2 linked regions of the Xenopus tropicalis genome follow. The protein of the gene in region 1 interacts with the protein of each later gene in a biochemical or structural test. Links are inferred from orthologs where the notes say so. Each region holds a gene or a part of one and is shown on either strand. Other genes may lie near its edges. The genes, in order: trim72 and ube2h.

What was found.
Region 2: the proteins of trim72 (region 1) and ube2h form a complex in vitro, tested with the Homo sapiens proteins (2 studies listed by BioGRID). The link is inferred for Xenopus tropicalis from reciprocal best matches to the Homo sapiens genes TRIM72 and UBE2H.

The regions. Positions count from the first base shown.
Region 1 is NC_030685.2:5,466,024-5,469,798, reverse strand, and holds part of trim72 (tripartite motif-containing protein 72), read left to right. Parts: intron 1-1,318; 5' UTR 1,319-1,319; coding exon 1,320-1,715; intron 1,716-1,967; coding exon 1,968-2,063; intron 2,064-2,734; coding exon 2,735-2,965; intron 2,966-3,374; coding exon 3,375-3,397; intron 3,398-3,775. UniProt on the Homo sapiens protein: Muscle-specific E3 ubiquitin-protein ligase that plays a central role in cell membrane repair by nucleating the assembly of the repair machinery at injury sites.
Region 2 is NC_030679.2:86,975,982-86,980,246, forward strand, and holds the start of ube2h (ubiquitin-conjugating enzyme E2 H), read left to right. Parts: upstream 1-1,321; 5' UTR 1,322-1,567; coding exon 1,568-1,620; intron 1,621-4,265. UniProt on the Homo sapiens protein: Accepts ubiquitin from the E1 complex and catalyzes its covalent attachment to other proteins. E2 ubiquitin conjugating enzyme that transfers ubiquitin to MAEA, a core component of the CTLH E3 ubiquitin-protein ligase complex.

The sequences.
Region 1 (3,775 bases):
ACTTGCAATGTGCAAAATGTTATATTTGAATTTCTGTTCCCTTCAAATTTGGATGTAAGAATAATGTTGCGGGATGCAGAGACAGGGGCGCTGGAATGTTGTTATTTTTCAGTAGCAGTTGGTATTTTGTACCCCAAGACCCTCGTTCCAGCAGGAAGCTGAGGGGGCAGATTGGTGAGGACAGGAACTCGTGCAGCCCCGAAGCCCAATGTCAGGCAGCAGCTGAGCCCAAGCCAGTGCAGCTGCTCTATAGCCCCACCTCAGCCCCCACAGCCCCTTGGGAATCCCACATCCCCCTCTGACCTTGGGACTCTCCCATGGCCCAGACAGTAAGTGGCACAATTCTGCCTACACGGGGGGCAGAGTACACCAGAAGGGGCAATTGTTATGGGTTCGTTATCAGCCCCCAAGCCTATTCTGTATCTATAGATTTCCCTAATGTTCCTTCTCTCTCTCCCCCTTCTCTCTGTCCGGTAACTTTAGCCTCCCTGGCAGCTCATGACATTCTCTGGGCTTCTATTTAAAGCGAAACCACTCCCTTATAGTCAGTCTGAGCAACGCTCTGATAATGGGACAGAGAACAGAGATCATTCTCTAACCCTTTAGATAGAAATAACTGCTCTGTGGCCCTTTATATATATATAGTAAAGCCATGCTCTAGGCCAGGGGTCCCCAACCTTTCTTACTCAGAAGCCACAGTCAAATGTAAAAAGACTTGGGGAGCAACACAAGCACCATAAAAGTTCATGGAGGTGCCAAATAAGGGCTGTGATTGGCTATTAGGCAGCCTCTATGCACCCTATCAGCTTACAGGGGCTTTATTTGGTAGGAAATCTTGTTTTTATTCAACCAAAACTTGCCCCCAAGTCAGGAATTCAAAAATAACTCCCTGGTTTGGCGGCACTGAGAGCAACACCCAAGGGGTTGGGGAGCAACATGTTGCCCCCCGAGTCACTGGTCGGGGATCCCTGCTGTAGACATAATACTTTGGGGGTGATACTCAGCAAGTCTGTATGGAGAAAAGCAATGCCCTATAGCCCCCCAGTTAGGGGTTGGGAAAGCAATGTCCAACCCTCCTGATTATCCCAGAAGAAAGTCATGCTTCTTGATCCAAGCTCACGTGTCCAGTATCAGTGAAGATCTGAAAGCGACCCTTGCTGATTGCTTGTTACTTTGCAGATCTGCAGAAACCAGATTGGCTACTGAGTGTGACTCTTTCCCCGGTGCTTGAGGGAATTAGGGGACTAAACCATAGGGATGTGAAGTTTCTGGATTTATAAGTCTTTCAGCAATGGTTTTGTCCATTTGTGCCCCTCAGCATGTCGACTCCGCAGCTGATGCAAGGAATGCAGAAGGACCTCACGTGTCCGCTGTGTCTGGAGTTGTTCCGAGCCCCTGTCACACCTGAGTGTGGGCACACCTTCTGCCAAGGCTGCTTGACTGGGGCCCCCAAGAACCAAGACCAAAATGGATCAACGCCTTGCCCAACTTGCCAGACCCCCTCCCGCCCCGAGACCCTTCAGATCAACCGTCAGCTGGAACACCTTGTCCAAAGCTTCAAGCAGGTCCCAAAAGGCCACTGTCTGGAGCACCTGGACCCCCTGAGTGTCTACTGTGAGCAAGACAAGGAGCTTATCTGTGGGGTGTGCGCCTCGCTCAGCAAGCACAAGGGGCACAATATCATCACAGCCGCTGAGGCCTACGCCAAGCTGAAGGTAAAGCGGAATGTGCTTAGAAACACACTTTTTCAGCTTTGCTATATGAGCCATACAATAGTAGGATTGGGATTAGGTGACCCTAATATCTGTGTTATATTAATAGCCAAACACACATTTCCCTTCTCATTTCATGCCATTCAGCTCCATGTAGAGTAATTGGTGCCAGCCTTACACTATGCTGTGTTTATTATATATTACTATATTGACGTATATGAAATCTAACTTTGTTCCATCTCGTTCCTCACACAGAGGCAGCTGCCCCAGCAACAAGTTATCCTGCAGGAGGCGCGACTAAAGAAAGAGAAGACGGTGGCTGTGTTAGACAGACAGGTGGCTGAAGTACAGGTAAGTGGCCTCCATGCTTTACAAACCCAGTGGCCCCTTTTCCTACTTATACTACCAGCAACCCTTCCACTTATTCTCAGATCCCTACTAGTCCCAGCTATAGACCTTATTGGCCTTTTCTTACATCAACAAGTTACCCTACTCCAGTTAAGGACCCAACCCATATTCCAACTTCAGTTCCACATGTTTAACTAATCTACTCCTCTACCAATGACCTCCAGTTCCACATGTTTAACTAATCTACTCCTCTACCAATGACCTTCAGTTCCACATGTTTAACTAATCTACTCCTCTACCAATGACCTCTAGTTCCACATGTTTAACTAATCTACTCCTCTACCAATGACCTTCAGTTCCACATGTTTAACTAATCTACTCCTCTACCAATGACCAGCGTGGATCCCACTGAGACTGTCCCAGAGAGTTACCCTCTTTACTACTCTATTGTACCCTACTTTCTCCCAACATCTCTTCCCCATAGGGCTAACCCTAATCTGCAAGCTCCCATAACCCCCAACCTTTCACCAGGATATTGTACTTAATGCAATCCCATTTCTACGTAGAGTTTGCTCCATCTATTGATTCAGTCAGGGTTTATTATGAGGATATGGGACAGTTGTATTCCCTTGGATACCGAGAATCATCTCCACTACTCCCTTCCCTCCCCACAGGACACAGTGTCTCGCTTTAAGGGCAATGTGAAGCATCAGCTCAATGCCATGCGTTCCTACCTGAGCATAATGGAAGCCTCGCTGAGCAAGGAAGCCGACAATGCCGAACGTACGGCCACAGAGGCTCTGCTTGTAGAAAGGAAGACTATGGGGCATTACCTGGATCAGCTCCGGCAGATGGATGGAGTTCTGAAGGATGTGGAAAGCCAGGAGCAAACTGAATTTCTCAGGGTGAGCCACTCAGTAATGCAGTGAGGCCAAATGGAAGCCCAGTTAGCCTACATGGGGGTGTAAACCCAAAAATAACATCTAGCATAGTAATAAAACTACCTGTACCATTGAAACAATGCTCAAGCCATGACTGTATTACCCACAATGCCTTGCAACTTTCCTTTAGTGGGTGTGTTATTCACAGTATTGTAGGAACTGGAGTAGTGACGGAAGGGGTCGTGACTGCTGCAATATTGAGTAGTGCAGATAGTCAGGAGCAGCAGTGCAGAGAATTGCAAGGGACAGGCAGCTGCTTCCAATAGCAGTCACACTTAGTAAATGTGTAATTCTTGCATATTGTCATTTAAATATATACTGATAAGCAGGAAGAAGTTAAAAATTGACTTTAACGGATTTCTTTTTGTTTCAGAAATACTGTGTGGTGGCAGCAAGGTAATTTCCCATGTCCCTTATAGTATGCGTTAGTCCTTTTCCCTTCCCCTGAGGCTAAAATCTTAGTGACTATCCCTGGGGTAATTCATAATAACCATATATTGCATGTCGGGGATGTTACTAACCCAATCCTTCCTTCCTCTGCCCAATCGACATTACTTTCCCCTTCAGTCAAGCAAAATAAACAAATTAATCTAATCCTTATTACTTCCCATTCTCAGCCTACTGCTATAATCCATAGGCAATCACCAGGAATGGGTACAGGGCCAAGTAGAAGGGGTGGAGCCTGATACAAGAGCAGTCATTGGTCACATTCCCTCTGAAGGCCCACAAACCATCTCTTCCCACTGCTACTTTCCTATTATTAATTATTAACAT
Region 2 (4,265 bases), on another chromosome or scaffold:
CTGGGGCCTATTTCTGATCCCAGGCTAAGTGGAGCTGTTCCTGGAGAATCAGAAGGCAGCCAAAGAGGAAGCCACACCTCCTTGCTAGACACTATATCAGACTGCAAGGGGTGTGAACAGCCACATAGATCAATAAAGTATAAGGTATAACTGTAAACTGATACAAAGGGTTTGCCCAGTAACAGTGCAAATCAGGAAGAGGTAGGGAATTAAAGCCATAGGGGAGCTTAACCCTATGGGTCCCTACATAATTATAAACCAACATCCATTAAGAATATAAAGACTTAATCGTTTTAATACATGTTCGGTGATGCAAACCCATTAGGTTTATATTTTGGGTGCCTGATATTCAGGTGTGTTTTCAGGGGTGGGGCTTAACATTAAATCAGCCACAAAGTACAGGGAGGGGAATACTGGGCTGTTTTACTACCACTGAGGGGTGCAAAACAGGGAGAAAGATCCTTGTGAGTTAATATGAGTGCACATTTGTAAAACTGTCAAAATGAATAAATAATGTTATATTAAAATATTTTACATTTTTGCAAATAAATGCTCACCATGGAACCATGTCTACTTGTAATGCTGTGTGCGCACTGGAGATATATATAAATATATGTGTGTGTGTGTGTGTGTGTGTGTGTGTGTGTATATATATATATATATATATACATAGATAGATAGCTCCAGCGCATACAAAGCATTACAAGCAGACACAGTTATTACCAGCCCCCAATACTACTAACAAAGAAAACCGATACTCCCAGCAATTCATGTTTCTAGAACGTTACACCATATGCAGCGTTACACATGTTATTTGTCAATCACAGCCCTTCATCTACGTTGCAGGATGTCAGCATAAAAGCACCGAGCAGGTTGGCAACAGCTAAAGCTCAGACATTACTATTGCTGTGACACGTCAAACTTCACTTGTACTGTGTACATTTTTGGACATCCTCCCTCGCCCCCTCCCAAAAAAGAAAAAAAAAATCCAGTATCCCTTTCACTCGCAACCTATACTTAGTCTCCCTATCTCACGTATGTCTAATATCATATTAGGGAGACATAAAGACTACAACTCCCAGAAGTCTATGCACTAAACCGTATATATTCGCCAGTGGGCGCGGCTAAATAAAAGATTGACAATCTGATTACCGGCCCTTATATAGCGGTCGGGTGGTTTCAACAACCCACAGCGAGGCTTAGACCGCATGTCGATTGCTCCGCCTTCTGCGGTGTGGCTCCACCTCTCTTTTCTGTTTTTTAAGTCTTCCTCCGCGGCCGGCGCGTCACTATCTGTGAGGTCACGTGACTGAGACGTTTAGTCGGTTATACTACTTTTTATGCTAAGGCACTCTCCGGTATAAGAAGGCGGCGACAGTGTCTGGAAGCTGGGTTTGGGGGGCAACCTAAGGCTAATCTAGGTTAGGCCCCCGCCGTATTTATTAAGGGCAACCGGACAAACAAGGCCCGGAGGAGGGAGGCGAATCCGCCGTCAGTTCTCCCAGTCAATTGCTTACAGTCCTGAGTGCTTTGCTGCCGAAGAGTCCCCCGGGGGGGAGCTGCAGACATGTCATCTCCCAGCCCGGGAAAGAGGCGGATGGACACCGATGTAGTTAAACTGTATCCTTCCTGACGACAAATTATTGGGGTATAGGTTACATATACTATAAGTGGGTGCTTGACAGTCATTTGTCAGGTACACTCAGTATGTAACTCTGGGGCCCATGTTTTGGATGGATATGGAGCATTGAAATGGGGCAAAACAATGTTCACACTATTCTGCCCCTTCTAGATACATGTAAGTATCTTAATTGTGTAGTGCCATTACTGTGCTTATCCGTGTTCCTTGCCTAGAAGGTAGTAAAGGGGCATATCCTTGTATAAAGAGATCTTTGTACATCAGCTATTAACAGAAACATAAAATAAAGTGACTTACATAAGGAAAAGCATCCCTATATTTCTCTGAAACAAAGAATGCCACATATAGGCACAGTTGCTACTAAGATATACTGTCTTTGATGAGAATGATCTATTTTGATTAAATCCTTTGTTATTGATCTGTTGGCAGGCATGTCTTTCCTAACCCACAGGCCCTCCAGCTGTTCTTGAGCTGGTGGCAGTTGAAGCCTGTTGGGCTATATGAGTTTCAGCTGAAGGGCCACTGGTCAGCTGTGTTTTTTTTTTTTATATAATAAAATAATGATAAATGAATTAAGAAAAGGTGTATTGTATTTGTAACTCAGTAGTTCACATATAACTAAAGTATCATTGTGTAGTTTGTTTTGTACAACTCTAATAGGCCTGTAGGAATTTAGGTATATAGATACGTGTGTGTATTTTCAGTGTCAGTACAGTTAAGGCCTCACACAGGGAGGAGGGGGTGCAGACAAGGAGGATTTTGTTGTTTGTGTCTAGTTAGACAGGGAAAAGATGATGTTATTTTTCGTTTTGTTTTATTTGTGTAACAACAAATTACCAATTCCCCCCTGTCACTGGTCAAGGTTATTTACAACAGGAATGCTTAACCTGTTTAGTTAAATCCTAACTCCTAGCACCCACTGACAGCCTTAGGCTGTTTGGGGATTTTATGGTGATACTGGAATATGTAGTAGAATAACACAGGCTGTGGGATGCATTTTGGGCAAGCCTGTACTCAATAATCATTCTGTTTCTTTGCACCTATTGAGCTTTAACAAACAAGTGGGTTTTTCATTAGACTGCAAATAATTTTCATGGGGGCATTGTTCATGGAACATCTCTGTACTAAGTAAGAGCTTACGCAAGCATTTGTGTACCCCAGTCCTGTTTATGTGCCTAGTCAAAACAAAGGGATCTTTGCAATCTTTTTCTACTTGTCGTTTTTATTGTAAGAGAACAGACAAAAGACTGCAGTCTTAAAGGTTTCATGCTGCCTTATGCTTCCATAAATAGAGAATGGTAGGCACAGGCAGCCAGCAGCTTTTTAACATTTGCTACAATGGCCCTAATTGAAGTGAATGCCATGGTTTTTACCAGCATTTATTTGTTGCAGGACATTAAATACTTTGGTCTGAGCGCAGGTGACTTAAAGGCAGGGTAATGTATGTATTTTATAAAGTTGGGAACATCATCTGTTGTGTCTGTTTTAATCTGACAGGTTTTGTATAGCTGCATTAAAGGAACACCTACAATCCTGATCTCCTGATTGGAGATGTCAGGTCTGCATTGCAGGCCTTTAGCATACAAGGGGTTAACTGGCTAAAACCCTGGAGACAGATTTTTTTTTTTTACAGGAATACATTTCTTTCAGCCTATAAGTATTTAACAATTATTTAGATACAGTTAAAGTAACCCTCATGCTGACAATGTTATGTTGTGTGTTTTAGGTCCCATAACAATATATAGGTTAACAAGTAAAATGTATAAATGTCCTAGCAACTGATCGGACTGTTGGGTTCCAGTGGTATTAAGGGGGTTGTTAGGGGAAAGCCTTCATAGCACAGCTGAGCTCTTCTGTTTTTCTTCTCCTCCCTGTTTTTTGCGTTTGTTTTTGTCCCATAAGTTCCCTCCTAGCCCATGTAATTTCCTTGTGTAGGGTGGGACACTAGGGGATTTTGTTGTGTGGTTATGACATTAACGCTCAGACATGAGTAGTGAAAGGGAGTGTTGTTTGAGGGGTGGGTGGGAGCAGAGGGCAGGTTAATGGGCACCCCGCATCCACTCTGCTTCTTTGTTATTACTGTAACTAAAGTTTGGTAGGAATGTCAGAAAGCCCAATGCCTGTTCTGTAAACCCAGAGGCCCACAAAATCTAGAGGGCCACAAGTGGCACTGCATTTAAGTGTACCACTGAAACTATACTGGCAATCTGTGTAACAGGCCATTTATATAGGTGTACGCTTTTTTATTGCTCTCAGTTTGTCTTTATGTGTGGTTAAAAATATATTTTTCCTAGTACAAAACAATCTTGCATTTACCTTACGTTCACCCTGACCTTTTGCTTTCATCCTTTATTGGGCTGTCTTAGAGTTAACCAGCTCAATTATACATGTTTGAGAACTAATAATAAAAATGGGGGGTGGGGAATGTAACCTATTGTATACAATTCCAAAACAGCATATCAGTCATAACACTGTGTTTTGGTTTTTTTTTTGTGAGGCTAAGGCATTCTGCCAAAATAAATCATAGCTGTTCCTAGCCGTATAGCAGAAGGCCTATTGTACTTTTTTTTTTTTTTTAAGAAGAAAGTGTCCTATATCTAGAGTATGTGTAAAGTTGAAAGAGATT